4 linked regions of the Lepisosteus oculatus genome follow. Each later gene encodes a partner of the first gene's protein in a complex. Links are inferred from orthologs where the notes say so. Each region holds a gene or a part of one and is shown in the gene's direction. Other genes may lie near its edges.

Region 1 (7,706 bases):
ACAGTTCATCATCTTCGTCATCTTCCTCCTCGTCATCCTCCTCCTCCTCCTCTTCTTCATCCGACAGCTCTGACTCCGAGACAGAGGACAAAAGAGGGTGAGAAATTTGTCCTTTCCATTTCTCTCTCTCTCAATCTGTGGTGCATTTCTGTCTCGCACTACTTTTCCTCTGCTGTGAAGGCAGTTTCACCATTTCTTTTTTCTACAGTTCTGGGCGAAATTCAAAGTATTACCAGCTTGAAAACCGATTGAATTTATATTGCAGGCAGCTCTGCTCGATGTGTGGCTATTCAGGACCCTCGCCCGGTGTTGTAAAATATGATGTAAGGCTGGTGAAAATACCTGCCGTCTCACTTCTGCCCTCCCCCCCCCCCTCCCCCCAGGTCCGAGGGCGAAGCGGCCAACCAGAAGAAGGCAGGGAAGGCCTCGGGCTCCTCCTCTTCCTCCTCCGACTCCTCCTCCTCCTCCTCCGACTCATCCTCCTCCGGGAGCGAGGACTCTCCCGCTGCAGACTCTGCGAAGTGGTAATGAGCAGGAGCAGGGGGGTGTCTGTTACTGCCAGTGTCGAACCAGTAGTGTTTCTGCCCAGGAGCACTGTCATTTGAGAAAATGTGTGCTCTATATCATTTTTTGCATCTTTTGAATTATGACAAAAAATACTTGCAATCAACACACGGCGAGCGAAACTTTGTTCCTGTGGCGGTTTATTGAAATATACAGGCTCTTTATTGCGTGTATCGTTAATATCCGTATAAAATTTTCTTCAACATCCAAAGCACATACTCCACCCATCGTAAGCAGTTGACCTTGTACTGCCCCGATATTGATATCTTGATTTTGATCAATTGATATTCTTGATTTTTGGAGTCCCGTGTAGTAGTTCTTTCTGCTTTTTATTGTCTGTGCTTTCCTTCCTTACTGAGGGGAGAGTCCGGTGTTGGGTTTTTCAGACAGAATCCCTCTTCAGTGGGTTTTTGTCCGTGCAATCCGACGCCTGTTAAAAGAGGGGGTTTCCTGCCGGTATCATTTGGAGAGAGAGCGTCCGAGTGCCCTCAGACCAGCTCCGCCGTCTTCTCGCTGGCCTGGCACTAGGGCTGGGCAATACATATCGAAAACGTATCGATACCGATGTTAAGAATCTCTCGCCGACCTTATTTTGCTTATGTCGGGATGAAAGCTTTCCCCACTGTGCGGTTTTCATCAGCGGTCCCCAGTCGTCAGATCCAGTCACAGGCTTCTGCCTTGTCCAACCCGCGTTCTTCATTCAAAACCCAAAGCAGCGAGCCGGGCGTGAGACGACGGGAGCGCTCGTGCTGAACCCCCGTCGGGCAGGGAGGACTCGAGCACGAAGGAAGACGAGCTGGTAGCTCAGACAGATGCAGTGTCGATCGTTAGGTCGTGTGTTGGCTTCAGCGAACCGGATGCCGAACAGAGAGAAGTCGGATGTGAGCTCTTGTCGGGAGAACCGTTTCTGCGCCCACAAGTAACACGAGCAACTGGTTTCATCGCTTTAAACGCAGCCATGTCGTGGGATACGAATACGGCGCATGGCCAAAAAACGAGAGAGACTGTCAAGCGCACTCATGGCCGAAGGGATTCCTCTCTTAACACGAGCGTTTACTCATGCCACTCGATGCGCGAAAGATTCACGCAGGCGTGACGCGATAACGAACGCCATTACACACTGCACAGCGAAGGACATGCTTCCCATAGCTGCAGTGGTTTGAAAGACTCGTTCAAGCCCCCGATGCGTAGAGATGCGTTGTGCCCTCGAGAACACATTTTTCTCAAACTGTGGTGCCTGACGTTTACTAAGTTTCATAGTTTCGCATATTTAAAATGGGGTCTTCCAGCATATCATATCGTATTTCAAGGGTTTCAGGAAAAATGCTCGTTCCATTTATCGTTATCGGGGTAACTGTGGGAAATTATCGCGATATGGATTTGTTCACGGTGGTTCTCTCCCTCTCTCCCCCAGTCCTCCCCGGCCCAGGGAGCCGGCCGATTCCCTGCGGGACTCCCGCTCTCCCAGCTACTCCCCGCCGCTCCGACAGCGCAGGCCGGCGCCGTCCTCACCCCCCCCTCACAGGTGAGCGACCCGGTCCCGCAGGGGGCCCTCGGGGGGGACACAAACACGCTCTCGCCGGCGCTGGACTGTGGCCGGGCCCGCTCGGGGCCTCCTGGCGATGGGCTGTTTCTGCGTGCGTCCGGATCAGTCGGATGTGGTGACTCGGACACGTCTGGGGTCGCTCCGTTCCGGCAGGGTGGGAGAAGCGTGCCTTTGTGGCCCCTGGCCTGGGGGGAGGGGGGGGTGGTATCGTAGGCCCCCGTAAACCCCGCAGCTGCACCTTTCCTTTAGCGCTGGGGGTGGAGGTAGGGGAGAGCGTACCCCTCGCTCGGTGTGAGGGGCAGCCGCCTGGACAAGCGGATCTTCTCCCGTCATGCCGGGGGGAGGCACAGAAGCAGCCCGGGCTTGGCGGGACAGAGTCCGGGCCCCAGCGTGTGCTTGTCAGCCAGGGCTGTCCTGTTGTGTGTGCGTCTGCAGGATGAACCCTGACTCTCTCTCTCTCTCTCTCTCTCTCTCTCTCTCTCTCTCTCTCTCTCTCTCTCTCCTGTCTGCCCGCAGGGGTCAGAGGTCAGACAGCCGGTCACCCAGCAAGAAACGCAGGAAATAAGGTGCCGGGCGGGAAGGTAAGCAATTCCTGTGGTTGGCCAGGCGGAGTCCCACTCGGAAAGCGTTTTTTTCCCCGGTTCTCGCCAGTCGTACCCCTGGCAGGAGGGCCGTTCCGATCGGAAAGGGGGCGCACCGTCCCCACGTCTTCTCACCGAGCCGTGAGATGAGCGGGGGAGGAGGGGGGAGGACAGCGCGGGAGACTGGCCTGTCGGGTTTGACCAGAGCCTTTTCTTTCTTGTTCGCAGGTGTCGACACCCGGACTCCCTCTCCCAACTCCCCCCCGCCCCCCCCAACTCTGTGGTGGTACAGCCCAGGACCTAGTCTGCAAGATGCTCGTGGGCCGTCCCACTCTGGGTTGCTCGGGGGGGGGGGGAGGCGAGGGGAGTGGTACAAGGACACTGTTCCAAGATGGAGGACTGAGATGCTGACACTGGAGTTTGGGAAAGACGACGAAAGGAAGAGAAGAGCGAGAGAGAGAGAGACCCACCAGGAGGAGAGGCCGATATCCGATTGTGACTTTTGTGCTGTTTTTGGAGGACGGAAATGGTTCCCTTTTCGTTTTGTTTGTTCTGGGGAAGGTGGAGAGAGCGCGGTGTGCAGGCGGCGTTGACGCGGGCTTCGGATGTGCGTGCCCACGCCGTACTGGGTCTTGATCTGTGAATTATTTTTGGGGGGGAGGGGGGGCGCAGGGCAAGATGACACTGTTTGTGAATACAAAACATTCTTTAAAAGCTGTTTTTTTTGTGAAATAATAAAATCAAAAAAGAAAAAAAAATCCGGCAGTTCTTTGGAGTTTTCTGTTTCTGGCGTGTGTGTGTTTTCAGTCTTGTTACACCAGGAGGACAGCTGGTCCGGTGGTTCTGGTCCAGTCCTGTTACACCAGGAGGACAGCTGGTCCGGTGGTTCTGGTCCAGTCCTGTTACACCAGGAGGACAGCTGGTCCGGTGGTTCTGGTCCAGTCTTGTTACAGTGGAAGGACCGCTGGTCCGGTGGTTCAGGTCCAGTCTTCTAGTCCAGGAGGACAGCTGGTCCAGTGGTTCAGGTCCAGTCTTGTTACAGTGGAAGGACAGCTGGTCCGGTTTTGGACCCGTCTTTTTACAGTGGGAGGACAGCTAGTCCAGTGGTTCTGGTCCAGTCTTGTTACACCAGGAGGACAGCTGGTCCAGTGGTTCAGGTCCAGTCTTTTTAGACCAGGAGGACAGCTGGTCCAGTGGTTCAGGTCCAGTCTTTTTAGACCAGGAGGACAGCTGGTCCAGTGGTTCTGGTCCAGTCTTGTTAGACCAGAAGGACAGCTGGTCCGGTGGTTCTGGTCCAGTCTTGTTACAGTGGGAGGACAGCTGGTCCGGTGGTTCTGGTCCAGTCTTGTTACACCGGGAGGACAGCTGGTCCGGTGGTTTAGATTCAGTGGTTCAGAAGCACAAATGGGTTTGTACAGTATGTATATCTACAGAGCATACGAATCAGTTATGTTAATGGATGTATGTTTTTAAAAACAACAGCAACTAAAGAGATAGAGAGGAGAACATTTTGTAGTTTATTAATCCCAGGATCTGAACTATGTCTCGAGAGAAGCCAGGATATTGGCTTCAACAATATAACTGGGTAGCTTTTTCCACTCTCCCACCCCCCTTTGTGTAAAAAAAAGTATTGAAATTGACAGACAATAACCAAAAACATTTGTGTCAATTGATCATTACAGATTCATCACCTCAGCATTACGAATCTTGGAGATCCTGTATCATGGAAAATGTCAAATAAAGATACATCACCAGATCACATCTATATCGTTATATAAACAAAATGAATTCATGCACCTATATCCTGTCTGTTCAAAAAATGTGACTGCGCCAACCGCAACAAGGGTTGTGCCAATCTCTTGCAGCTACAGGGAGAGTAGTTTCTTATCCTGTGCATGCATGCGTGTTTTTTTTTGTTAGCGGAAAGGGAACAACGGTCGCGTTTCAAAGCCGTGAAACTACAATTCCCGTCATGCCACGAAAGCGGGGGGGGGGGTCCTGTGACGTCACTGCCCTGCGCCGCCCGTGTCCCTTTCCGAGAGGGAGAGTGTTGGGCTGTGCAGACCTGGGGCTGACGAGTCTGGCTTGTGTGCAAGTTTCACTTTTCTCGCCAGATTGGACGCCGCGTCTAAAACAAGAGGAAACATGGGACCGGTCGAGGTGATGGCCCGTCCTTTTCGTGTCTCTGTGTGTATGAAGCGCGCTCTCACGTTGCGTGTGTCGCAGGATTTCGGGGGTGCCTTTGTGTAAAAGCCCCGGGGGATGTAGCACAGGACATTTTCAGTTCTAGAAAAAAATATTTCCAGTATGTAATCCGGTCTCTGGGGCTTTTACACAAACAGGGGTTACTGTCTGAGCCTTTGTGTTCAGAAGTAACGGCGCGACAGCAGCCGGGGGCTCCGAGCTGGAGGTGCCGTGTTTTATCCGAGTTTCTGTTTTCCACCCGTGTCTCCGGACATAAATCCACAGCCTCTCCCCAAAACACCAACACACAGCCCCGTTGATGGAGGGTGGTCGACTTCTAGGGTCGTGACAAACCCCACGGGAGAGTGTCCCGTGTTTTATAACCCACAGTGTGGCAGCTCCCCTCTGAACGTGTCCACGGTGTAGCGCCCTTCTCTTTCCTCTTTTCTTACTGTGGTCCACAACGTTAATAGTCAGATTAGACCAGAGCACTCCTGTGCTCTTCCTGACTTTATTTCAGTCCTGATCCAGGAGGAACACTGTGTCTCCTGGTCTTCACTCCAGCCTGGGCTCTTACTGACTTTTACTGCTAAGGTCAAACAGACTGCTGAAGTCAAACTCCCCTATTACACTACCTCTTTTGCTGGTTTCAGTCTTGAATTTGGGTTTGTGAAGTCTGGTGTTCCTCAGGGCTCGATACTGGGTCCCCTCCTCTTCAGCATTTACCTGTTCCCACTTGGTCAGCTATTGAGATCACACGGTGTAAACAATCACTGGTACGCCGATGATGCATAAATCTGTATCCATGATAAACCTGGCACTGAAGTGACTGTCTCTGTACTGTCTAATTGCATCTCTGACATAACATCCTGGATTTTCTTAATTGAAACAGTGACAGACCTGTAGTCATGCTTCTCTGCACCTCCCTTCAACAGTGTACTGTGCAGCCAGTGCAGTGACCCTAACTGCAGGAAGGCCCTTGAATTTGTGCGCTGGAATTTCAGTCTAAACCGGAGAACGTGGTGGTGATATTTGATCCAGGCTTGGCGTTTGACCCACACGTGCAACATATTGTAAAACAAATCTCATTCTTCCACCAAGTATTGCCAGGCTACGGTCCAATGTTCCTGATAACTGTTGCTGAAAACTTGGCCAGGACTTTTTTTTATGTTTCTTTCAAATTGATCACTGCAACGCCTTCCTTGCTGGGGTATCTAAACCCACACTGAACAGACTCCAGTCTGTTCAGAATTCGACAGGCCAGATCCTGTCCAGGTCTAGTGCAAGTGATCCCATTACTCCTGTCCTGGAGTCCCTGCACTGGCTTCCTATCGGGTTTCGTGTCCATCTCAAAATCCCCATGCTCACCTTTGAGGCTCTGCATGGCTTGGCACCTCAGTAGCTGTCCGACTTATTTTCCTGCTCGCCACCTCACAACCAGACCATTTGCTCGTCTAACTCTGGTCTCCTGTCCTCAAGCTTGTCTGTTATTGAGAGGGGCTCACTGTCTGTTCCCACAGTCTGCAGATGACAGGGCCTTCTCGAAGCAGATTATTCTTATCTTTATTATATTGTCACAATGTTGTGTGATGTTTTGGTGTTATACTGTGTCATTGTGCATTGTTGTGACACAGGGTTGTGTTGATGTGTTGAGTTACACTGTCATTGTGCTGTGCTGTGACACAGGGTTGTGTTGTTGTGTTGCGTCACACCGTGTCTTTCAGCTGTGTTGTGATACAGGGTTCTGTTGGATCACACTGTGTCTTTCAGCTGTGTTGTGATACAGGGTTGTGTTGATGTGCCGAGTTACATTGTAATGGTGCTGTTACACAGGGGTGTTTTTGAGCAGTGTTGTGACAGAGGGCTGTGTTGCTGTGTTGTGTTACACTGTCATTGTGCTGTGTTGCATCACACTGTGTTTTTGAGCAGTGTTGTGACACAGGGCTGTGTTGCTGTGTTGTGTTACACTGTCATTGTGCTGTGTTGTGTCACACTGTGTTTTTGAGCAGTGTTGTGACACAGGGCTGTGTTGCTGTGTTGTGTTACACTGTCATTGTGCTGTGCTGTGACCCAGGGTTGTGTTGTTGTGTTGCAGCTCCTGCACATGTCCGTCTTCTCTCAGAGCTTCTCGCCTTGCAGTCGGTTCCTCGCGGCTGGAAACAACTACGGCGAGATCGCCATCTTCAGGTGAGACAGGGAACTGCGGTGCCCTCTGCTCCCGCTGTCTCCTAGTCTCTGCTCCTCTCACTAACCTGACCTGCTCCCACTGTGTCTCCTAGTCTCTGCTCCTCTCTCACAAACCCCTCTCGCTCCCACTGTGTCTCCTAGTCTCTGCTCCTCTCTCACAAACCCCTCTCGCTCCCGCTGTGTCTCCTAGTCTCTGTTCCTCTCTCGCTAACCTGACCCACTCCCGCTGTGTCTCCTAGTCTCTGCGCCTCTCAATACCTGACCTGCTCCCACTGTCTCCTAGTCTCTGCGCCTCTCACTAACCTGACCTGCGCCCACTGTGTCTCCTAGTCTCTGCGCCTCTCACTAACCTGACCTGCTCCCACTGTGTCTCCTAGTCTCTGCGCCTCTCACTAACCTGTCCCGCTCCCACTGTGTCTCCTAGTCTCTGCTCCTCTCTCGCTAACCCCTCTCTCTCCTGCTGTGTCTCCTAGTCTCTGCGCCTCTCGCTAACCTGACCTGCTCCCACTGTGTCTCCTAGTCTCTGCGCCTCTCACTAACCTGACCTGCTCCCACTGTGTCTCCTAGTCTCTGCTCCTCTCACTAACCTGACCTGCTCCCACTGTGTCTCCTAGTCTCTGCGCCTCTCGCTAACCCCCCATGCT
Region 2 (6,924 bases), on another chromosome or scaffold:
CAGAGCGCCCCCTGCTGCTCAGGCTCAAGCACACTTCCCTGCGCTTGACGCGAACGCGGGACGTGGGCCCACAATCCACTGCTCCACAGTCCTGGCCATCCCCCTCCCCTTACAGAGCCTTGAATTCGCACACCCCCCCTCCCCGCCGGCCGGACTCACAGTCAGGGCAGCAGCCGTTGAAGGACATCCTGCAGATGCCACAGTTCTCGTCATTGGCGACCCACAGCCAGGAGGCGACGCCATTCCACTGCTTTATCTTCACCTTCAGCCCCCGCTCCATGGCGCTCTCTGCAGGACACAAGGCACCACTACAGCTGGGTGGGCACTACAGCTCAACAGCTGTCCTGCTGCAGAAGCAGATGGCTCCACAGGCTGCTGCACTGTGCAGGTTAGCTGGGCTGCTCTGCTCCCTCACACAGCAGAGCTTTAAAGAGCTGCACTACTACAAATTGCACTGCCCATGAACCAGAAAGGCAAGATCACATTAATTTTGTGCCAATCTATCCCTGGAAGATCCAGAGACGAGAGCCTGCAGCTCCTAACACCTGTAGTGGATCTGCAGGCTGTGCAGTGAAAGTCTCCGGTTTCCCTGCTGCTTCAGTGCAGGTGGGGCAGCCGACTGTAAAGCTCCATCCACAGGTCTCGCTTGTGAGCTCAAATCTCAGCACATGCTAACGACTAGCACCTCACCAGAAGGATAGGAACGACGCTGTGACAAAGGCTAAACAGCACAAAATAAAGCTTACCCAGTTAATCTAATTAGACAGCACGTACTGTAGCTAGGATATATGTGACCTGGCACAGGAAGGGATTTTAAAGCTGAGTTTACAATGATAGACTTTAAAGCATTTCCTCTGCAGCCTACGCCTGTAGAAAGTATATTAAATTCAGCATCGGCTTGTGAACGGGACATACTGTGAATACGCCTCACTCTTCACCCCTTCATCAGAAACCGCGGCGTTAAATCTGCCCTGCGGACACAATAACGAAACACTAACATTAATGACTAATTAACAGACGTTACTCTAAACGTCTGACCGATGTTGTTGTCACGTGTCTCAAGAAATGGCCGTTTGGCTTCTGTCAAAGTGAGATCGAGCTCAGTTGCAGAAGCTGCCCGGAGAACCGAAGCGGGACCTGGCTCCGGCCCTGAGCTCCTTTCCGACCTCGGGGGCGACGGAGCCCCTCAGCCCGCTCTCCTAGTGCAGAAGCGCCGTCCACTTCTGTCCCTGCGAACGGATGAACTGGTCGGGGCGACACATTATTATTTAGACCGCTCCGTCTGCTACACAGTGTATCTTAACTGTCCAATAACACAAGAAACTTCACTGTTCAGACTTGACTATGTTACGCACATCATCTCAGGCAAAAGCGTCCGCTAGGCAGCTATATCAAATGAGAGAATAGTTAAAAACTGAACACCGCACAGTACCTGCACGACTCCCGTAACCCCTCTCAATTGATCAGGCCTGAACAGACCGCAACTCTTTCCGTTGATCCTCAACTCTGCGATCGTCTAACGCGACTTTGACCACATTTAAAAAGCTTGTCGTCGGAATACCGCCGCCTGGAGGCCTGGCGTGACGTTTACAGTGAAACACGAGACAGCGGCAGGAGTGGAAGCTAATTTGAAGTCCAATTGGAAGTAAAACAGAGACCAGCAGCCACTGCTAGTAGAGTAGTAGTAGTGGAGGAGTTTATATTCGTGGTGGTCATTCAGGACATACACAGTACAACAGACAACACCACCTACCTAGATGTACACCTACCACACAATGCAGGCAGTACATCACACACATAATAAATAATAACAACAGGAACAATAAATATGTTATGGAGAACAATAAATATGTAGTAGTGGAAAAAAACATGGTAGACCATGCAGAAAGTGCAGATAAGTGCATTGAGTCTGAGGCCCTGCAGTGAGCTGCTGTTGAGGATGCACACTGCAGTGGGATAGAAGCTGTTCCTGAGTCTAGTGGTCCTTGCTTTAGCAGCGGCACCGCTGGCCAGAGCGCAGGGGCCGGGATGGGTGGGATCCTGGATGAGGGATTGGGCTTCACTGTGACAGCAGACGGTGTGAATCCCACCGATTGATGGTCAGTCACATCCTGTGATACCCTGTGCCGTTGCCACAAGCCTCTGTAGTGGGTCTCTGTGATGCGCAGACTTCTCCCACCTCCTCTTCTTTCCTGAAGGGATGGTGGGAGTGTGGAACACGCTGATGCCCTGGTTTCTTAAAAAAAACAAACTGGATCAATTAACTACCAGACGCACTAGATGGGCTCCTCCACAGCTTGTTACTGTTCTTACAGTCTAACTGGCCTTTGTGCCCTTTTGTAGCGACATACACACAACACATCACAACACAGGACGCCACATCACCACACACAACACACACACAATACATCACAACACACACAACACACCGCATCACCACACATCACAACACAGGAACACACATCACAACACAGGACACCACATCACCACACACACAACACACACAATACAAGACACCGTATCACCACACATCACAACACAGGACAACACACACAACACAGAGCAACACTCGACAACATATCACAACACAGGACAACACATCACCACACATCATAACACATCTCAACACAGGACAACACATCGCCACACATCACAACACATCACAACACAGGTCAACAGGCGAACAAGACACAGAGAGAAGATACAGCTCTTGGGATCACACCACAGAGCACAGATTACAAAACAAATCCTTATCATGTGAAACAGCGACATGTATGAAATACTGAGCTTTTGTTGGACATTTGAAAAGAGATAGAATTGAGTAAATATAATAACTTATTTTAAAGAGTCCTAATTGATGTTTTTGAGTAAACATAAGTCCGTTATGATGCCCGTGCTCAAAGTGAGGACGAAGCAGGCTGAGTTTTCCACTGTGGAGTCTCAATATTGTATTTTCTGAACTGCGGAGGAATGTGGCAGGCAGCAGCAGGAGTGTGCTGTGTGCCCCAGCAGAGTGATCTGCAGCTTGTTGCTCTCTGGACTAGAGAGCATTCTGCCTAGAGCAGATACTGATGGGCGCCAGGGGGACCGAGACGCTCTGACGAAATATTCCACATCTCCTAAGCATGAATAGGGTCAAACGCCTCTCAGTCACTTAATTGTGTCAATGTACTGAGTTTGATGGCTGTGTTTGGAGTAATTGCCATGTCTGTGTTCTTTTAACTTCATTTGCTGCTTGCGGATTATTCCAGTGTACCTTATTATTGTATCCTCCACTGCAGCAGTCCTGTCTCTGTCAGCCTCCCTCACTCTCAGCCCTCTCTCGCACTAATAATAATAATAATAATTAATAATATAGTGCTTTTCTGGACACTCCACTCAAAGCACTTAAGAGGTAATGGGGACTCCCCTCCACCAGCACCAGTGTGCAGCCCCACCTGGATGATGCGACGGCAGCCATAGTGCTCCAGAACGCTCACCACACACCAGCTCTCAGTGGGGAGGAGAACAGTGTAATGAGGCCAATTCACAGATGGGGATTATTAGGGGGCCATGATTGGTAAGGGCCAATGGGAAATTTGGCCAGGACGCCGGGGTTACACCCCTACTCTTTTCAAGAAATGCCCTTGGATTTTTAATGACCACAGAGAGTCAGGACCTCGGTTTTACATCTCGTCCAAAGTATGTGTTGTATTGCATTGCAACCACCTGTGAACACTGCTAATATTGTCTTGTTTTTTTTAAATATGTCCGTTATGGACTGGAGCGCTGCCGGTCTCTAACAGGGAATACAGCACATACAGTACAGACTCCGAAAACTACAGCTCCCAGCAGGCTAAGCCATTCCACTGAGTGCGCAGGCGTCAACCCCGCCCTGCATGACGTCTGTGTCCGACGCCAGCCGCAGCGTCTTAAAAGGCGGCCATTGTGTTTTCTCCTCACCACTTCGTGCTCGGGTATCAGCGGGGGCGAGTTGCAGAGTAGGGATAGTGCGTGCGAGTTCGTTTGTCTCTATTGATAGGCTTAGTTCGGCGACTCGAAATGGTCGATAAGATGGATATGTCCTTGGACGACATCATCAAACAGAACCGGCAGCAGCGGGGCGGTGGCGGGGCCCGTGGCGGCAGGGGAGGCCGGGGCCGGGGAGCGCCCGGCGGGGGCCGAGGCGCCGGGGCCGGCCGGCTCGGTGGCGGAGGCGGCGGCGGCGGCTTTGGGGGTCGCGGCGGAGCAGGCCCCGTGCGGACCCGACAGAGCCTGAGCAGAGGCAGAAGCAGACCCACGCCGTACAGCAGGGTAGGAGAAAAGAAAGAGATGGGGAGAGAGAAAGAGGAAAAATGGAAAAGCGTGGCGCCCGAAAATGCCCGGGTCTGCGGAGCTTGTGCGTTTAATATCCTAACGTGCTAATAGAGCTGTTACTCACTGGAGTGTCTCTGGAGAAACAAAAATGGCTATATTTATTGCTAGATGTCCAATTTACCCGATTCACTTTCCTTTTTAAGGAAGAAAATAATTAAAATGCCTAATGTTTTCCTTTCTCCCCCAACCTCTTTAACCTTTCGTGTTTAACCTAGTTGAAAAGCGGGCGTTATCAGGAGACATGTTTGGTTTTTTTTTTTCGGGCTGCTATGCCGCCCGGGAGCGGAGAGCTCAAGTCTAAATTTGTTCGAGTGTCTAGAAAGAGCAAAACGCCATTTTTAACGGCCACGAAGACGCGGTGCAGCCGCCGGCGAGGACGGGAGGCCGGCGGCGGCGGAGGAGGGAGCGGAGCGCTGCGGAATGAATGAGCCGGCTTTGTGTGCGCCCGGCCGGGCTGTCCGGCCAGGAGGCGGCCCCCCGGAGCTCCGGGCTCCAGCCCCCCGCCGAGCAGCGCTGGCAGAGGCGGGGGAGGCTGTGGAAGGACACTGATCGGCCGGAGTTAGCCGCCGACTACACTGCGGTGGCCGTGCACCCGCAAGGGGTCTCCGCTTAGCTGATCAAGACAAAATGGCGCAGCTACAAAATGGACGCTCTCTGCAGGCAGGGCTCCGAGGCCTCGGACCGCAGCTGCAGCTGCCCTGCGGCGACTCTTCCACACGGGGACTCTGTTCCACTAGAGAGCCGCCTTTCTGCAGAAACACGATCGCGGGGGATCCACGGACTTGATCCTGCGGCGGGGCGGCGGACTCTCCGGGCCTCAGGACCGCAGGCGGAGGACAGGCTCGGCGAGGGGGGTGGAGAGGCGCCGCTGCACGGATTGGCCCCCTTTTCAACACCTGCGGCTGGAGTCTGAGGGACCCTCGGCCGGGGCGGCGGCGGGCTGGGACCTGCCCCCGGCGGGCGGGTTACCGGGACACTCGGTTTCAGAGGCGGGAGGTCGGATTGGCAAGGGGGCAGTGAAGGGGTAGGACCCGGCGCTGAGCCGACGGCGAGCACCTCCGGTGTGCTGGTGCCTTTTCCGGCCTTGTTCCCTTTTAAAGCTGTGATCAGTGCGCACCTGCACTGTAACCTTCCCGTTTCTCCAGGGTAGCGCAGTTTCAGCCATTGCTCCTGAGTCTAGTGTAGCTGCCTCGTTAGGTTTTAAACAGCATTGAATGCATTTCTTGAGCAGAATGTTCATTTTACCCACAAGGCTCTGTTGGGGGGGGTTATGTGGCTTCTCTTTTGGGGGGTGCACCTAGTGTTTGACCTTTGGGGGGGGTTCACAGTGATACTTTTATTTGGATCAGCTCCCGGAGGCAAGTTGTCTGCGGCCAGCTGGTGCTCCTGTCTGGTCTTGGGGGCTTTCCTGGTGGGGCAGGCGGAACCAGCCCAGATTGCTGCCTGACCGGGCTCCCCTCCTGGTGTGGGCCACGGTGGTGCGACTGGGTTCCTCTGGCTGCTGTTCCTCTCGGGAGCCGGCGTTAGCTGTGGGGTGTCTGCTGGCCTTCCTCTCGGAGAGCGGGGTCCTGGCGGCCTGGCGCAGCGTGCCGACTGGGAAGTCAGCAGGTGCGTTCTGTTTGCTCTCTTGCAGCCCAAGCAGCTCCCGGACAAGTGGCAGCACGACCTGTTCGACAGTGGCTTCGGCGCGGGCGGCGGCGGCGCCGGCGTGGAGACCGGAGGCAAGCTCCTCGTCTCCAACCTGGACTTCGGGGTCTCGGATGCAGATATCCAGGTGAGTGCTGACTCTGCGCGGGGGTGTCCTGGTTTGGACTGCGTGTAGCTCGCGTAGTGGCTGCATGTGGCTCTGGGATAACTGCAGTTCCTAAACTGGGTCTCGCCTCTCATTCAGGAGAAACACAGCACTGTAGCCCTTTCACTCAACAGCTCCGAGGCAGGGGTGTGCAGTCCTGGTCCTGGAGGGTTTGTTCAGAGCCCCCCAACCTCAAGGGGTCACAGAAGTTACACTGGTCCTATTGTGCCAGTGATTGAACTGTGCTGGGTTCATAACCTGCAGTTGCTGAGGTGACCCTTTTCCAAGGTGAAGCACATTTCCATGAGGGGGGGGTCCAGGCTCTCACCCGCAGGCTTCGGTGTGATTTCCAGAGGCAGGTGTTCCTGTTGCAGTGAGAGTGCTAGCATACAGATTAAGACACCTGCTCCTAGCCTTTTGGTTTGCTTTTGAGAAGCTAGATCGGTGCCTTTTCCTGTGTCTATCATTAGCCTACAGCTGTTGTGCCCATGGGGTAGCAGGGTGGAGTTGAGCCTGCGCGCCTCTCGTGTGGTGGGTGGGTTGGGCTTGTTGGCGAGCGCACAGACCTGATGGTGCCCTGTGTTCCAGGAGCTGTTCGCGGAGTTTGGCACGCTGAAGAAGGCTGCGGTGCATTATGACCGGTCGGGTCGCAGCCTGGGCACGGCGGACGTGCACTTCGAGAGGAAGGCCGATGCGCTCAAGGCCATGAAGCAGTATAATGGCGTTCCACTGGATGGTGAGTCTGTCCCCTGTTGTCCTCATTTTGGAATTAGGAT
Region 3 (7,407 bases), about 43 Mb from region 1:
GCTCAATGGTTAGATTACAAGCATTACCATCACTCATTTTTAAAATACCTTTCTTCTTCCTTTTCTGCTGGTAAACTTATCAATAACTTCCATCAAAATATGAGGACACTGTAAAACTGTTCTAAATTGCTAACAATGTACATACATTTAGTTTTCCTCCTTTCACCATTGATTGGAGGCAATTATTCACAAGTTTCATCAAATAAAAAGAACAGCTCCAGAACAGCTAGAGAGTGCTAACAGCTAGAGACTGTGTGCATACAAAGGCAAGTGTCCACATGTGTCCCTCAGGCCTAGCTGGTACATGTTCACTGCTGATGCCTTTGCTTTTCAGAACACAGAAGTTTTGTTTTACAATTTCTATATCTACATAAACATCGCAAATATTCAAAGAAATAAACTGCAGAAATCCAATTTTGTACTCTAATTCTTTGTAAGTCTGACTGCAGTTCAATTATTAGGCAGTCACAGATGATATAAAGTCTTTCAATAGAAAATGCTTTGTAATTAATTTAATCAGTGAGTTACAGACTTCTTTGTTTTTGTGCCTCAGTGCTCAGACATTTTTAAGTGGTAGGCCAAAGCGAGCAAATGTAGCCAATACATCTTTACAGTTTCTTTGTACCTAGGAGCAATAGCTAAAGTAACAGAATGTATGGATAATTAAATTACTAAACAGATCTCATGACATAGAAAATCAAATCTAGGGTGATTTCTGAATAATCCATCCACTTTCTACCCACTTCTTCAGATTCAGGGTCATGGGGAAGCTGAAGCATATTCCAGTAAGCAACGGGCTTAAGGCAGGGTACACCCTGGACAGGACACCAGTCCATCATAAAGCAGACAGACAAACACACAGACACGCAGGCATTCTTACCAGGGCCAAGTTTCCCAGAAGCCAATTAGCCCAGCAGTATTACTTTAGGCTGTGAGAGGAAACTCACAAGGACACCATGAGAACATACAAACTCCATGCAGACAGCACCCCAGGTCTGGAATCAAACCCTGGGCTCCAGCACTGCAAGGAACCAATGCTTACCATTATACCACCATTTTATCAATAAATGAAAACTGAATAATTAGCACATATGCTTTCTTGTATTGGGCCATTCCATGTCAAATAAATCAAATTCACTGAAGTTTGTGCTCACATGTGTTTAGTGTAGTGGAAGAGTGAGGTCAGGTATGTAACAAGGTGAAATTAAAGTTAATTTGGGCCTAAATATTGTGGCCCTAGGCATGTGCCTAGTCTGCTGAACCTTAACCCAGCCTTGTTTCTAAAACTAGCCAAAGACTGAAAAGCCTGATTTTTGAGATTCTCAGTAGCATTATGAAGAGATTTTGGAACTAACAATTATCATTCATTACCATAATGTTCTGATCTGCAGTTTGGTGTAGTTTGTTTGCTTTTTCAAACTGGATTTCCCTAATAAAATGTAGTTGTAAATGGTCAATTTATGATTTATTTGATATAAATGCAATCACAATTATTTCAGGGATCACATTTCAGCAGAAACACCAAAAAGTGTAAAAAATAAACCTGACAATGTCACAGAATCACTCAGAATCTTTATCACATTGTAGCCTGCTTTCGTCAACCTCAAAAGCTAAGCAAGGCTGGGCCCAGGCAGTGCTGGATAGAGCCAGGCTGTGTGAACAATAAGTGATGCTATTACACCAGTAGGCAAATGTTAAACCAATACCCCAGTGCGGTAACATTATGCTGCAGGAGGTGTATTCCGTTGGATAAGACATCACACTGAGGTCTTGAGTACTTAAGTTAAATATCCCAAACTTTGTTAATAGGATTTTTAAACTTGGTGCCCTAGTTAAAATCTGCTTTGTGCATTCACAATGTGGTCTACCTACATTTCCCCTTCAATTAAAAAGGTGAAGTAATTTTTCACCTCTTTACCTAAAATTCTCTGTTGTGAGGCTGCCAGCACAAAAATGCTTCCACATGACACACTGGTGGATGATGCACTTCAGTGCAAGAAGTGGGGCTTCTCCTATATCTGAGATCCTTTGAAATCCTTGGGAATAAAAAAGAAAGTGCAAGACAAATGCAAGCATTTAATTAACAACTGGAGCTGCGTCATTCTGTGTCAAGTCAATCAGACCTTCCCAAGTCATGATTTTAATTTCACTAATATTTGTGTAGTAGAAGACAGAGGTTGAATATTTAGACCAAATCTTTTAGCTCATGTGGACGACATGACGCAGTGGTAGGTTTGTAGAAATACCTTTTATCTGAGAAATCCAGCGTGAACAAGCAAACATAAACTATACCAAACTCACAGTACAGGGAACCTGGTTTCAATTCCTGACCTGGGGTGCTATCTGTGTGGAATTTGTATGTTCACCCCATATTCACATAGGTTACCTCTGAGTGCTCTGGTTTCCTCCCACAGTTAACAAATATACTGGTAAGTTAACTGGCTTCTGAGAAAATTTGCACTATTGGGAGTGTGTTTGTGTATGCTCTGCACTGGACTGGTGTCCTGTCCAGGGTGTATCTTGCCTTTTTCCTGCTGCTTGCCAGGATCGAATCCCCTGCGACCCTGAATTGGAAGAAGAGGTTAGAGAATGGATGAATTTAAGCATATTGATGAACATCTACTGGAACACTTTTCTTGTGAAAGAGCACAGCCATACTTACAATACATACAGTATAGCCTTGGAGAGATTTTGAATATCTAAACATTTTTGCCTTAAAAATTTAGAATACATATATCTATACATAAGCTTCTAAAATCACTTGTCTGGCTAGATACATCTTCTGTAGAACTGAAAAATAATTATAACTTCACCATTTCATGTAGCTATGATGTCCAAATGTAAAAAATATATCCAGTTGTCAGTTCCTAAATTTTAAGTCACTGTTTGGCTGAAAACTGAAAGATGAGCTCACAATCTAACAAACTAAGATGCGACAATTTAACCTTATTTGACCTTGTTACAAACCTGACTTCACACTTCCACTACACTAAAAACATGTGAACACAAACTTCAGTGAATTTGATTTATTCAACATGGAATAGCCCAATGCAGGAAAGCAGCAAGCTAGGTAGCATGGTCTTGAGAGTCAGTTTCCTTACTATAAAACCCATACGTTCTTGCTAATATTTTAAAATAAAACCTTAAGCTAATGTTTCTACTTTCTTTTGCTATTTAGATTAAGTATGTCTGCTTGAACCTTCAACAACAGGCTCATGTATTAGCATTTTTGAATTGATAAAGGGAATACTTGTATTTCTATGCCCACTTTCTATGACAGGCTGTCCCACTGAAGAGATTACATAAACCCCCGCCAAGAAATATCTGCGTTTTACATTAAAACGTTAATCATCAAGAGAAAATAATCTCCTTCTTAAAGTTTTCATAGATTATTGAAAAAACTAAGAGTTTCAGCATTGCCAAACTCATCTAAATTCTCACTAACTACGAGAACAAAGATCTACGCGGAATATAACGGAAGATAAATAATTTGTTGCAGAGCTTGTAGTAACTATTTTACCTACCACATATAATGTAGCATTTTACAAATACTGGGTAAATAAGTGCCAGCTTTTCCACTGTTTCCTTCAGCAGTTTCCAAAACTCACCGAATACTTCTAAGAGTAAAACAATCATTACTACTTTCTACGAAAAGTCGCAAAGCACGAAGAAAACAAACGATGCACATCTATAGCTTCATTCAGGACATTACAGCAAAAATCAGACCTGCAAGAAAAACTATGTTTAATCTTAAAACATAAAACATATTGCACAGTTTCAAGTTTTCAGCGTTTAACTTAATTTAACGAGGAGTATTCCGCATAAAACAACAATTCTAATTTACTGGACGATCTTACTGTGTATTGAAAAGGATTAAGAACTTGTTACTTTCAATTTCTTCCATTATTATGAACAAAGCTCCTACAAATACTCGAATAGCCACATTAAACAATCTTAGCACCGGGCTACTGGTGGTTTGTGTAAATTGCTACCTAAATTGTTTCTCATTGTCATTTAAGAAAAACAAGAACACTAGCAGACTGCAGACAGAGAAATAAACCTTATCCGTGTTTACCTGCTTCCGGGACTTTTTTAAAAAGATACAAAAGCTCCTTCGGGATGTCAGTCTGTTAAATGTAGCTAAATTTGAGCGGTGAGAATGGCGAATAAAGAGCGAACACAGTGCTCACTGACTGTGGAGGTCTTTACCCGGGGCTTCCATGTCTGTTTACCAGGCTGCATTCTGGGAGACATACGTCACTCTTTCCGCACGCTTTGCACGTCGGCGCTTAGCGAGGCTTCAGCACCTCCAAGAGGCCTACGCAACTGATGCCATTGTGGCTCTGAGCAAGCCTCGGCGTTGGCATACGAAAATACAGGAAACTTGAGCCAACATGGCAGACAAACAAGAAGTATTTACGGAAACGACAAACGATTTTAACCGCAAAGCGTTTTGGTCTTTCCAACCCCTTGACAAAGCGACGCAATCGGTCTCACAGGCGGAGACGGGTGCATACTGCTTATTTATCTCTTTTGTGAATTGGGTTGGTATAGCTTTTGCAGTCAATAAAGTTTCATTTGAAAACAAGTAAATTGTCGAAGTGATGGGTGCTGTTACTGATGGTAAGTTACTATGAGTACTGAATGTTTTATAATTCAATGTTCACTATTGAACACACGTGTTTTTTTTTAACTTTTTTGTAGCAATGGCATTACAGGCAATTGACTTAGGAATTCGCTTTTCGCGTCGCCTGCCTCTGTGGCTTTGGATAGTTAATCTGTTTTGTTTTCTCCGTTCCAGACGAGGTTATCCGGAAACGACTTCTGATTGACGGAGATGGAGCTGGTGACGATCGTCGCATCAATGTACTATTGAAAAGCTTTACCAAGTGGTGCAATTCTGGAGCCCCGGAGGAAGGGTAGCTAACTCGTTGACTCTAATACAGATCCATATACCAGTAGTTTATCTTCTTCAGAAACAAACACGTGGGGAACTGCTCAGAAGCCAACCCCGAGAGCTCTGTCATGGGTTTAAAACTGACCGTAGAGCTGTGTTGTTTTAGCTAGTAAAATTCCTAATGTCTTGATCGTACCGAATTCATATATCTTTAGCGTGTATATCTGTTGCTGTGTCCAGCACAAGGTACATCCCCATTCTACCTTCGTAGCGGTATCTTGTCAGATTAATAAGTCTACTATATGTCTTGGTTCTTTATCTGTATACAGGTTGTGGAAATACGTTTTTACATAATGTTTTGATGGTATTTCCTGGTGTTTGCTGTCTTATACTGTATCTTTCTTCCTGGGTTGCACTGTGAGGTTGCATTTCAGCACATATCTATGTGGATTCTCCTCAGCACAACACAGCTGTGAAGTAGTTGTTTATTTGTTCATTTTACTTGTGCTAGGAGTTCCCAGTCCTGGTCCTAGAGGGTCAATTCTATGAGTTTTCAGTCCAGCTGTGCTCTTAACTTCAGTCGTATCATTATTTGACTGGATTGGACCCGTTTTACAGCAGCTCTCCAGGAGCTGGTACTTTAAAGAGACCAGACACTCGTGCAAGACAGGGACTGGAAACCACCTGACATTGCAGCTGCAAGTGACATCAGGACGCTAACAGCTGATGCCATGCCTATGTGGTGAAAATGGGACAGTTGTTTCAACCGTGTAATTTGTGCACATAGTTGCATTTCCTTTTCTTCTTTTTTGAAAAATGCCTCAAATGAAAGCAATACAGTCTACTCAGTGATTAAATTTACATAAAAGAGCTGCACTTGTAGTGCATAAGACAATACAGAACCCCTAGATACTTTCTTCAGATTCATCAAAAACTGAAAACTCCAAATGGAGAGGTTTAATCATGGCATTTTCTTTATATTGATTAAACCCCTTGTTTTAAAGCATTTTCCCCTAAAATAGCACAATGTATTTGCTTACTATATGTGCCTGTTGCATGCGGTTAGGAAGGTTTTGTTCACATTAAAGGTGAAATGTCTGAAATGTGTGGCACGACAGTGCAATTTATTCTGGAGAAACAAGCACCTTGTGAACTGTTGGTAGAATGAGTCAGTGGTTTCACAAAAGGTCACTTCATTGTCTAGATCACATACTGGCACTTCAGTTGAAGCAGGAAGCAGGCTGGCAACATATCCTATTGTTTTCAAGGTGCACACAGGAAACAGTGAAATGTCTTTCTTTTTAGGTACACCCAGTTTCAGAGGATGCTAGGTACACTGGCACAGTGTGAATTCTCCATGGGGAAGACCCTGCTGGTTTATGATATGAACCTCCGGGAGATGGAAAACTATGAAAAAATATACACGGATATAGGTAATCTGAATCTGTCCTATTCTAGTCCTTTACACCTTGTGGCTGTTTGTTTCAGCTAGCATGCTTATGCTTAAATTTTTAGGCCACAGTTGTTTTTTTTCGTTGTGTGCAGCAGTTAGCTTTCTCAGTTCATTTTTGTATTTAAGTAGCTAATCTTTTATCCAATGTCTTATGCTACATGTACATATAAGTAAAGTTGTCTCATAAAAGGCAGAATGAAATACAGAATTAAATCACTTTTTATATATGCAGGCGCAAACGTAATGAAAATTGGCCTCCTTTTCTTTATAAAAGAGACCACGCATAGTTATGCGTCATCTGTATCTGTGGTCTCTCAGTCTTGTTCTTGAAAACGTTAATTCATCAAGTTTTGTAGATAACCATAAACATCTGGATGAAGACTTGAGAAACAATTGAACTGAGAGACTGTGGCAGGCATTTTGTTAAATTAAGCAATTTAGAGATCACCTGGAAGCTGCAACAAATATCTGGATATACACCGGCCCTCAAGGACCAGATATGGTTAATTGCACAAATTACTTGCTTAACCTTTAGAAATGGTGATTTATACCTTCACTTTAATATGGATAGGAACTCTCAAAGACTACACTTGATAGAGATGTGTAAGTTAAAGGGGAACTGCAGTGCTATTTTTATGTTTTGGGTTTAGAAAGAATCAGCATTAAAGAGTACATTTCAAACCATAAGATAAGTAAAACGTAAACAGTAACTTGTAAAACCTCCAATTTACGTCACAAAATATACGAGATTTCCAGGTATGCATAGTGCCATATTCTGCAATTTAGAACAAGCTAGCAAAATGTCTGGTGACATAGTACGGCCCTTTTATGTTGTAAACAAGCTTGCTTGTTTTTTTAATCCAATAGGAATATTGACTCTTGACTTTGAGATCCCATAGGAACAATTTTGCGATGAAATGTCTGCAGCACAATCTGTACTTATTCACTCATACATCGCAGTAGATTAGTCATTACGGTGGCTAGTGAGCAGGAAGGGAGGGAGCTCTTGCTCTCTCCCATGCTGAGACCAGAGATTTTCGACAACACGACGACTCGC
Region 4 (7,943 bases), on another chromosome or scaffold:
AAATGTAATACATGATGCAGAGAGAAATTCTCTAAGGCAAATTAAATCCTACTCTTACAACTAGCCTTCTTGGTGAGGTCAATACTCTGGGCTGGAAGGTCACATGTCCAGATCCCAGATGGGACACAGCAGTTGCAGCCTTGAGCAAGATACGTCTTGCAAATTATGAACGCCGCATTTTTCAGTGAAGTTTCACTGTAAGTAATATAAATGTGGTTTGTGTTCCTGGCTTATCTGTTTAAAACTAAAATGAAAGGATTCCCCAACATATTTTCATTTCAGAATCTTCCCTTTAAAAGGCGCTATGATGACATTGCCAAATATCTTCTATGCGTCACAGGTAAGCCCATCTCTGTTACTCTGTAACTGCAGGAGGAACATTGCCGTCGTTGGACCACCTGTACATCTCCGGAGGCAAAGCAGCTTAGAAACCACAGTCAGCATCCAGCTGTGCAGCAGCTGTCAAGCACAGTGCGTCAGTGGTCCTTACCCACGTCAGAGCCCCCCTTCCGCTCTGTCATCCACTGGCCAGAGGTCCAGAACTGCTGAGGGTCGCGAGAGGTGAGCCGCTGGAAGGCTTTGTCCAGGGGTCCAGACTTCCCCAGGGACTGGAGGATAAACGCAGCAGATTGGTCCGCAGCAGCGATACCACCCTGCAACTCACAACTGGCAACTGCTGGAGCTCAGCAGGTGTGAGCCTGATCAGTACCTGGATGGGAGACGCCTGGGAAAGCTGAGGTTGCTGCTGGAAGAGGTGTCAGTGTTGGCCAGTAGGGGGCGCTCACCCTGCTGTCTGTGTTGGTCTTAAATCCCTAATATAGGGGGGCAACTATACTGTAATAAAAGGTGCCGTATTTCGGATTAAATGTAAAACCGAGATCCTGACTCTCTGTGGTCATTAAAAATCCCAAGGTATTTCTTGTAAAGAGTAGAGGTGTTAACCCCAGTGTCCTGGCCAAAGTTCTCCCCTGGCCATGGTCTCCTAATAGTCCCCATCTCTGAACTGGCTGCATCACTCTGCTCTCCTCCGCACTGACAGCTGGTGTGTGGGGAGTGTACTGGTGCACTATGGCTGCTGTCACATCATCCAGGTGGGGCTGCACACTGGTGGTGGAGGGGATCCCTATTACCTGTAAAGTGCTTTGAGTGCAGTGTCCAGAAAAATTATTATTATTACCTTGATACAGAATTACTATATGTGAACTTGCTATGTCACCTTTTTTATAAGGGGTGCAGCCCCTGTGGGTTTGCAAAGATGTCGGCACCTCAGCGTAAACGATACAGGATGCAGTTCACTGACCTCAATGACTTTAGCTGCCCCATCAGTCATAGCCAGAGGACAGGTGTAGAGTCCAGCAGAGGGAGAGCAGAGGTATAGTTTGGACATCTGGTAAACACGGCTAAGGAAATATACACCAGTATCATCCACCTAATTTGACACTACTTTTGTAATACAGGATATACATTTTAGGCCTTCAATTCGTCTACTTGAAAATGCTGTTTTGTGAAAGACTGCTCAGTATCATCTTTCATAACATGCTGGATAACTTGTTCCAGACTCCCACAAACTGCTCAGTCAAAAACTGCATCCTGTTCTTAGTTTTAAATTCACTTCCTTGTAGTAACACATCTGGACACTGCACTGTATGATTTCCGAGAAGCAATGTTTCCGTGAGGTCCACAAATATTTTGTGGTGTATAATCTGTGGTGAGTAATTTTCCACTGTTCTCTTCAGAATGATATGTATCCACTAGTGTTATATTCATCAACATCAGTCTCCGTTAGCTGTTTCAGTGATGCCAATTGCATTCTAATTGCATGCAAAATTACAAGAGATATTAGCAATGGAGTTGCTTCAATGTCTTGTATTTTATTCCTAACAATCTTAGCATTAAGATAGAAGCATTTAATTACCTGTGTAATTTTGTTTCATATGATTAATACAAGATCATACTGTAAATCACAGGGTTATTATTTGCTAACTGTGTCATCCAGTTCAGGGTTGCAACGGATCCTGCTGTTTATGCTGTGAACTTACAGCAGGAACAGAGAAGGAGATCCTGACACTAGAATTTGTGATTGCATATTTTCTTTCCTTCTACTGTGCTAGGAGTCTCCATATGAGGAGAACTAACAAATGCCCATTCCAAAACTCAGGCACAAGAAACCACCAGATGTGTGTGTCACCCTACCTCCAGTCACGGAAAGTCCTCTCGTAGCCAGCAGCCACCAGCCCCTCCTGGGCCGAGATCTCCTTCATGCGGCCCCAGGCGGGGCAGGTGAGGATGCGATCAACTCGCCGACCCCAGGCATCACAGTGTTGCAGGCGGGGGGGGGTCTCCTCACACTGCCGGCCCAGAGCGTCCACTTCACTGCAGATCCGTTCCCCAAACCGCTCCAGATCTGCCCCGACCGCGCTCACAGCCTGGAACGCACATACACTACACATGCCCATTCTGTTCTTGTAATGCCGCTATTCCTACCTGAGTGAAAGTAGTGTCCCAGGGGCATCAGGAGAACCCGAAAGCAGGCAGAGCAGGCAGGCTGGCGTGGACAGCAAGCAGGCAGAGCAGGGTGGCATAATGAGCATGCAGGCAGAAATAAACAGTCTAGAACGTAAGGTTGTAGCTGAGAGATAAAGAGGCAAAGCATAAGGGGAATCCGAAAGCAAAATTAAAGTCAAGAGATGCCAAAAACCTGAAAGTATAAGCAGAGCTGAGAATGCCAAAACTAATAACTGAAACTCTAAGACTGAGCGCAGAGAGACTGGTCTAATATTGACAGATCCCAGTGAGGGCAGTGTGGTCATTAACTACAGACGGGTGGAACAGATTTTTAACCAGAGCTCGTAGTCACGGCAATCGCCTGATTGACAGGTCTTGTTGAGGCTCCGTCGGTTGCTGTGTTGATCCTAGCGCGTCCTGTCGTGCTCCGGTGGGAGCAAGCATGACAGTTTTAACATAAGCATATCATAAGCTAATCCAAACCAGCTTCCATATTGAGATTGGAGTAGTTTCACAGACCACGAGTGGCATGGAAAACAATAACACTGCATTCCTATATGGGTCTACTTCCAAAAATTATTTCTTCGTTACATTTTTAACGACATCTGATCAGATTTCGTTTTGCACTATATCTAATTTGTCACCTCACAATGAAGTCTTAAAAGTCAAATAAGGTGAGTGCACATACCAGAATACGTACAGGTATCTATTAAGCAGCAATAAAATGACGTTGCCACCGACTTCTTTGAGGAGCAGAATGTTAACAGCTCATCAAGGTTTTGAGAAAAGACGTTTCGAGCCAGGCTGTGTATGAGGTCAGACAGGCAGCAGAAGTACCAGTCGACTGGTGTCTTGAAAGTCTGTGGATAAGGGTTTTCTCCTGTCTATGCCTATAAAGTGGTCAAGGAGAAGTAAAACCAGGCCCACCTGAGCAGGGAGGTGTCTTCTCAGGTAGCCCTGGAGCAGAGCGTCCTGCAGAAAGGGGTTCCTGAGCTGGGGCCTCTCCTGGAAGAAGCTCCCGATGGAGGACCTGGAGAAGTGAGGCCGCTCCTCCTCCTGCGGAGCCTCTGTGCGGCCCCGCGGAGCGGTGAGGTGCGAGCTCCCTCTGCTCGCCCTGCGGCTCCAGGCCCCTGCCGCTGGCCGCCCAGCCAGGGCCAGCCTCAGGACACGCGCGGCCATCAGGCACCTGCAGCACAAACGACCTGCCAGTCGCTTGCCCCTGCTTGTGAAGTGAATGTGAGGAAGCATACTGAGCTGTCTTCTGAGAACCTGTTGTCATCCGTCTTCGTTAATTCACAGTAAAGGGTGCTGATGTTTATTTACGAGTGCTTATTGCATGTCACTACAGCAGGATAGACTCAGCTTTTTCAGCTCCGTTAAGTTGCCCTCCCAACAAACAGCACAAACGATGAAACATCGATGAAACATTCATTAGTGCTGCATTTGTGCTGCTTTCGTTCCCAAAATATAGCGCCTTGTTTTTCGGGTGATCAAGTGACCATGCACGGTGACTTTGACCTCCAGTGACCCCGTCTGCCGAGTTCAAGCGCTGTTACTGGTGCGAGAGTAACAATTCTGCAATTGTGTTTCTGTTTGCCCGGTTGGGGAGCGGTAGATTTTGCATTAACACCAGTATCTTCTGTGCGTTTGTGTGAACAGAAAAATTTAATTTGTCTTCAATATCATACCCTCAAGAGTTGCAGGTGTAGCCTTAAAAAGCGAACATTAGCGAGCAACTGCATATTCTTTAAAAAAGCCTTTAACTAGTACATCTCAATACTTCGTAGCTCTTTCATTTTATAAATCAGAAAAAAACAACAAGATTCTCCTTGCGTTCTTTAAGGAATGCGGTGGGTTTCATCGTTTGTGCGTGTGTGTGGGGAGGCAACTTCACGGACCTGGGGCTTAATAGGGATCAGTGGCTATCCAAAAACGAAGGATAATAATGTTATTATTGGCTGTCTTGAGATTTACAATCATTTTTAATTATTTCGCCAGCGTATGTAAGAAAAAAAACACATTCTTTCTACATTATCAAGCTCGGCACGTTGGTCTATAATTAAATGAAATTTACGTGTGCTTTTTCTAAAAGATAATTCACGACAGTTTATTCGCCTCCATTTCAAGTTCCCTGCATTATTTAAAATATAATGAGCAAAACATATTTAAACCCTAACTGTACTTTGAACTATAGAGGAATACAAGAAGTAGATTAAAAGTTCGGTTTACTCCGATTGCAAAGTTATCTTCACTTTATTACTAATGTGTTCCTAAAAGGGAATGAGACTGACAGCACGTGTATAAATTCTGTTGTTAATAAACTTACCACACATTACCTTTCAAGTAAACTCTACCTACGCCTTGATGTTGTTGATCTCTCTCTTCCGCCCCCTCTCGGCCGGAAAGGTAACTGCGCTGCCCCGGGATCCCCATCCGGGTCAGAGGTCAAAGTTAAAGTCCTCCATGTTTTTTTGGGGGGGAGTTTAGGGTAAGTGTTGTGTTTAGTGAATGAAATGTTATTTTTAGTTGTTTAAAAAATACAGAGCCTTTCGTTGCCGAATTTGTGAATAAGGTTGGTGGGTGCATTGATGTATGGCTGTTTGAAGTCTGCGATAAGCAAACGGCTTTTTCTTCTGTACGCGTATTGTAACTTGTGAGTCGAAGCATTTTAATTGATCGCTGCTGCTAAGGAAGAGCCTTTGTACCTTGTTTACACTCCCTGCCCAGGAGATAAAATCTATAAAACGACTTGCAGATTAATTTATGTTTGCGAGTTGTTATGTGCGTTGTTCCTGAAAACAGAAAGCCAAGACGGTGATCATCTCGGGTGATTATGTGAACTGTCGTGGATGCGATTTTAGCAGTATTAACAAAATCAGTTATAACGATACTCCTTTTATTTTTACTTTGATGTCCCGTTGTTTGTACATGTCAGTACTGTGAGCTACCGAAGCTTAACTCGTTTCTAATATATATATTTTGAAGTCCTTGTTAAATCCATTTGTACTTTTTCTTTATAACTATGTTCACAATGGTCACTAGTTCGCACGTTCAGGACTCTGAAACCAACTGGGAATGTGTTAAACTAGTGAAAGATACAGGGCACTTGCTCTTATATCGTCCTCACTGTTGATTTTTATATGTGCAGCTTGAGACCTCCTGTGTACCTCTTTCTGCCGTCTTTGCGTTTTAACAGCACAATTCCATCTGCTCTTCCTGTAAGAACTTGCCTGGAATTGGTGAATTGAATTAGCTAAGCATGCTGTTAACGTGTCTTAAAGAAGGATAAGTAACTGTAGCCAATAAGGATCGGATTTCTGTAGACATTCCTTAGGTCTTACAATAACAGGCTGCTTAAGACTTAATACATGCCATTAACTAAATTGTTAAAGTCAGTAATTAAAAAATCTCAGGCCAAAAAATTACTTATTGGATAGTTTTATTTAACTCAAAGGAATTGAAACCATTTTGCTATAGATGGGGATCCACTTTGTGACCTTTGAAGTGTAGTAGCCAGTTACGCTACAGTATGTGCTTGTAGCCCCATTGCTACTAGAGGGAGAGAAATGAGTTCAGTTAAATTAAGAGCGAAGCCTTCATTACTCTTCTGAACAGTCCCATTGATTCTTTAATGATCAAGTAGTCAGGACCTCCCCTGCAGGTGACCGCAGCAGTGTCCTGTAGCAGGTGTGTGTAGGTTCCTCGTAAGATAAAGCCTGAGCTTTCAGTTTTGTGGTCATCTTACTTCAGCTGGGACTTACGGCCAGTCCATTACATATACCTTGCTGACCCCCTCTTCTACCCTCTCACCAGGAGCGCTCCTAGAATCGCCTGCAAATGTCGGCCGACACCCTGAAGAAGAGGAAGCCCAAAGTGATCCGCAATGAGGGTACCCCAGAATCAAAACGCAATAGGGGAGAGGGGGACCAGGTGAGGGTCGCTACTGGAACTGTCGAATCAAATGGCAGTGGCACTCATGATGCAGTAGATGGCAGTCTGCCTTCTGGGCCAGCAGGCTGGGCTGTATCAGCAGTCAGAGAAGGACTTGGCACTGAGACTGAGAACACACCAGCGGATTGATTGAGATTGTCTGATCATAGATTTTACAGCTACAGTGCAAGAAAGGCAACCCTGCTATAATGAGCATCTTGCTACAATATGACTTTCCTGTACTAGGTCAACAGTGTGGTGTCCCACTGTAGCATGTAGTCTGCCATTTTGATCCCAGGAGTGCCTGCCCATTAGTGTGTCCTTCCTGCTTCAGCTGGGGTCTTTATTTTGAAGCATTACTTACAGTTGTGATCATAAGAGCACTATCGGTGGTACAAATCACCCTCTGTGCCTCCTGAAGGGCTCAGCCGGCAGGCTGGGCTGTGATTGTGGGTGTGAGCCATAAATCGCATGACCTACCATGGTCTCTTATGGGGTCAGCGGCCTTGAACCACTCAGTCCCATTTACAACAGCTGAGTGAACTGGAGTAATCAGGTTGCGCCTTGCTTACTTTTTCCGGGGGGGGTTTCTGCCACAGGGGCCTGAACCTACGACTCTCCACGTGAGCCCTAATCGCTGGTTATTTTGCTGTGCTGCAGGACGTGAGAGTGTACAATGAGGAGGTGGAGCTGGAGAGCAGGGATACCAACCAGGACTACACTCTGTACAAGCAGACCTGTCAGGACCTGGCCAAACTCATGGCTGAGATCAACGAGCTGAAGACCAGTGGCAGCAAGGACAATGTGAGCCATAGTGCGACATCTCACACTCTGACACTTTGAGCGATTCGTCTGTGATGAAGTGCAGGAGTGTTGCAAACCCCAGAAGAGACAGTGGGCACCCAGGAGAGGGCTGGGAGCTGCTGCCTTAATTGATCCACCTGCGTGGCAGCAGGAGTTGGCCGGGGCTGAATTCTGCAATGCTGGGGTATTGTGGTGGAAAGCAAAGTCTTCAGAATTGCAGCTTCCAAGCATCACACTTTGGGCCTCCCTACTCTGTTCCCTCTTACGCAATGCGTCCAGGCAGGAAGTGGCAGGAGCTGCTGTTGACAGCCACAAGAGCTGATTTTCTATTTGTTTCTTTTCCTCCTGTGTCTTGCAGTCGGCAGAGATTGAAGAGAAGCGCATGATGGGGTGCATCCACTTCATGACCCTGAAGAAGCTGAACCGGCTGGCTCACATGAGGCTGAAGAAAGCCAGGGATCAGACCCACGAGGTGCGGCTGCCTTACGTTCCTGTTCTTGGGGGTGACAGGGCTTTTCCTGACCGCAGTCACTCAAATTGATTGGAAGATATGATCACTTGAACTTAATAGGAGGTCAAGTAAAAAAAATCAGAAAGTGTTAAACTTGATTGATTAATAAGCTAACGGAAGTGCAAACAATTCTTTTCCTAGGTTGCCAAGAACATTTATTTTCCCTAAGACATTGCTTGATTGACTTGGTCAT

Evidence for each region.
Region 2: thoc6 (region 1) and alyref share a complex: the UniProt entries of both Homo sapiens proteins name them as parts of the transcription/export (TREX) complex. The link is inferred for Lepisosteus oculatus from reciprocal best matches to the Homo sapiens genes THOC6 and ALYREF.
Region 3: the proteins of thoc6 (region 1) and thoc7 are in contact, whole or in part, in a cryo-EM structure (PDB 7APK), measured with the Homo sapiens proteins. The link is inferred for Lepisosteus oculatus from reciprocal best matches to the Homo sapiens genes THOC6 and THOC7. Residues at the interface, in NP_001334633.1 of Homo sapiens: Asp229, Trp232, His245, Thr252, Gln268, Asp269, Gln284, Leu285, Ser286; in NP_079351.2 of Homo sapiens: Lys110, Arg113, Lys114, Gln117, Glu118, Ala121, Leu122, Val125.
Region 4: the proteins of thoc6 (region 1) and thoc5 are in contact, whole or in part, in a cryo-EM structure (PDB 7APK), measured with the Homo sapiens proteins. The link is inferred for Lepisosteus oculatus from reciprocal best matches to the Homo sapiens genes THOC6 and THOC5. Residues at the interface, in NP_001334633.1 of Homo sapiens: Val5, Pro6, Ala8, Val9, Pro10, Leu11, Gly12, Gln13, Val16, Phe17, Leu20, Gln21, Leu23, His24, Met25, Thr26, Phe28, Tyr45, Tyr80, Asp94, Glu125, Val126, Pro127, Glu128, Asn130, Gly146, Tyr170, His172, Glu188, Trp222; in NP_001002877.1 of Homo sapiens: Pro406, Gly407, Asp538, Ile539, Val540, Asp541, Ala542, Gly543, Leu544, Ser575, Ile576, Ser593, Asp596, Arg599, Glu602, Gly603, Asn606, Val607, Tyr609, Arg660, Phe662, Arg663, Gly664, Pro665, Ser666, Arg667.

Annotation. Positions count from the first base shown.
Region 1 is NC_090699.1:5,870,970-5,878,675, forward strand, and holds the start of thoc6 (THO complex subunit 6 homolog), read left to right. Parts: upstream 1-4,692; 5' UTR 4,693-4,836; coding exon 4,837-4,851; intron 4,852-6,970; coding exon 6,971-7,062; intron 7,063-7,706. Other genes in the region: srrm2 (serine/arginine repetitive matrix protein 2), read left to right, coding at 1-97, 384-524, 1,979-2,089, 2,627-2,675. UniProt on the Homo sapiens protein: Component of the THO subcomplex of the TREX complex which is thought to couple mRNA transcription, processing and nuclear export, and which specifically associates with spliced mRNA and not with unspliced pre-mRNA.
Region 2 is NC_090704.1:47,020,579-47,027,502, forward strand, and holds the start of alyref (THO complex subunit 4), read left to right. Parts: upstream 1-3,916; 5' UTR 3,917-4,041; coding exon 4,042-4,293; intron 4,294-5,989; coding exon 5,990-6,130; intron 6,131-6,736; coding exon 6,737-6,884; intron 6,885-6,924. Other genes in the region: anapc11 (anaphase-promoting complex subunit 11), read right to left, coding at 160-280. UniProt on the Homo sapiens protein: Functions as an mRNA export adapter; component of the transcription/export (TREX) complex which is thought to couple mRNA transcription, processing and nuclear export, and specifically associates with spliced mRNA and not with unspliced pre-mRNA.
Region 3 is NC_090699.1:48,898,260-48,905,666, reverse strand, and holds the start of thoc7 (THO complex subunit 7 homolog), read left to right. Parts: upstream 1-4,400; 5' UTR 4,401-4,604; coding exon 4,605-4,623; intron 4,624-4,801; coding exon 4,802-4,919; intron 4,920-6,202; coding exon 6,203-6,330; intron 6,331-7,407. UniProt on the Homo sapiens protein: Component of the THO subcomplex of the TREX complex which is thought to couple mRNA transcription, processing and nuclear export, and which specifically associates with spliced mRNA and not with unspliced pre-mRNA.
Region 4 is NC_090717.1:14,292,243-14,300,185, reverse strand, and holds the start of thoc5 (THO complex subunit 5 homolog), read left to right. Parts: upstream 1-4,938; 5' UTR 4,939-4,993; exon of another isoform or gene 4,994-5,077; intron 5,078-5,308; exon of another isoform or gene 5,309-5,332; intron 5,333-6,318; 5' UTR 6,319-6,342; coding exon 6,343-6,435; intron 6,436-7,095; coding exon 7,096-7,239; intron 7,240-7,597; coding exon 7,598-7,711; intron 7,712-7,943. Other genes in the region: acyl-CoA dehydrogenase family member 11-like, read right to left, coding at 491-608, 1,301-1,400, 2,194-2,426, 3,433-3,684. UniProt on the Homo sapiens protein: Component of the THO subcomplex of the TREX complex which is thought to couple mRNA transcription, processing and nuclear export, and which specifically associates with spliced mRNA and not with unspliced pre-mRNA.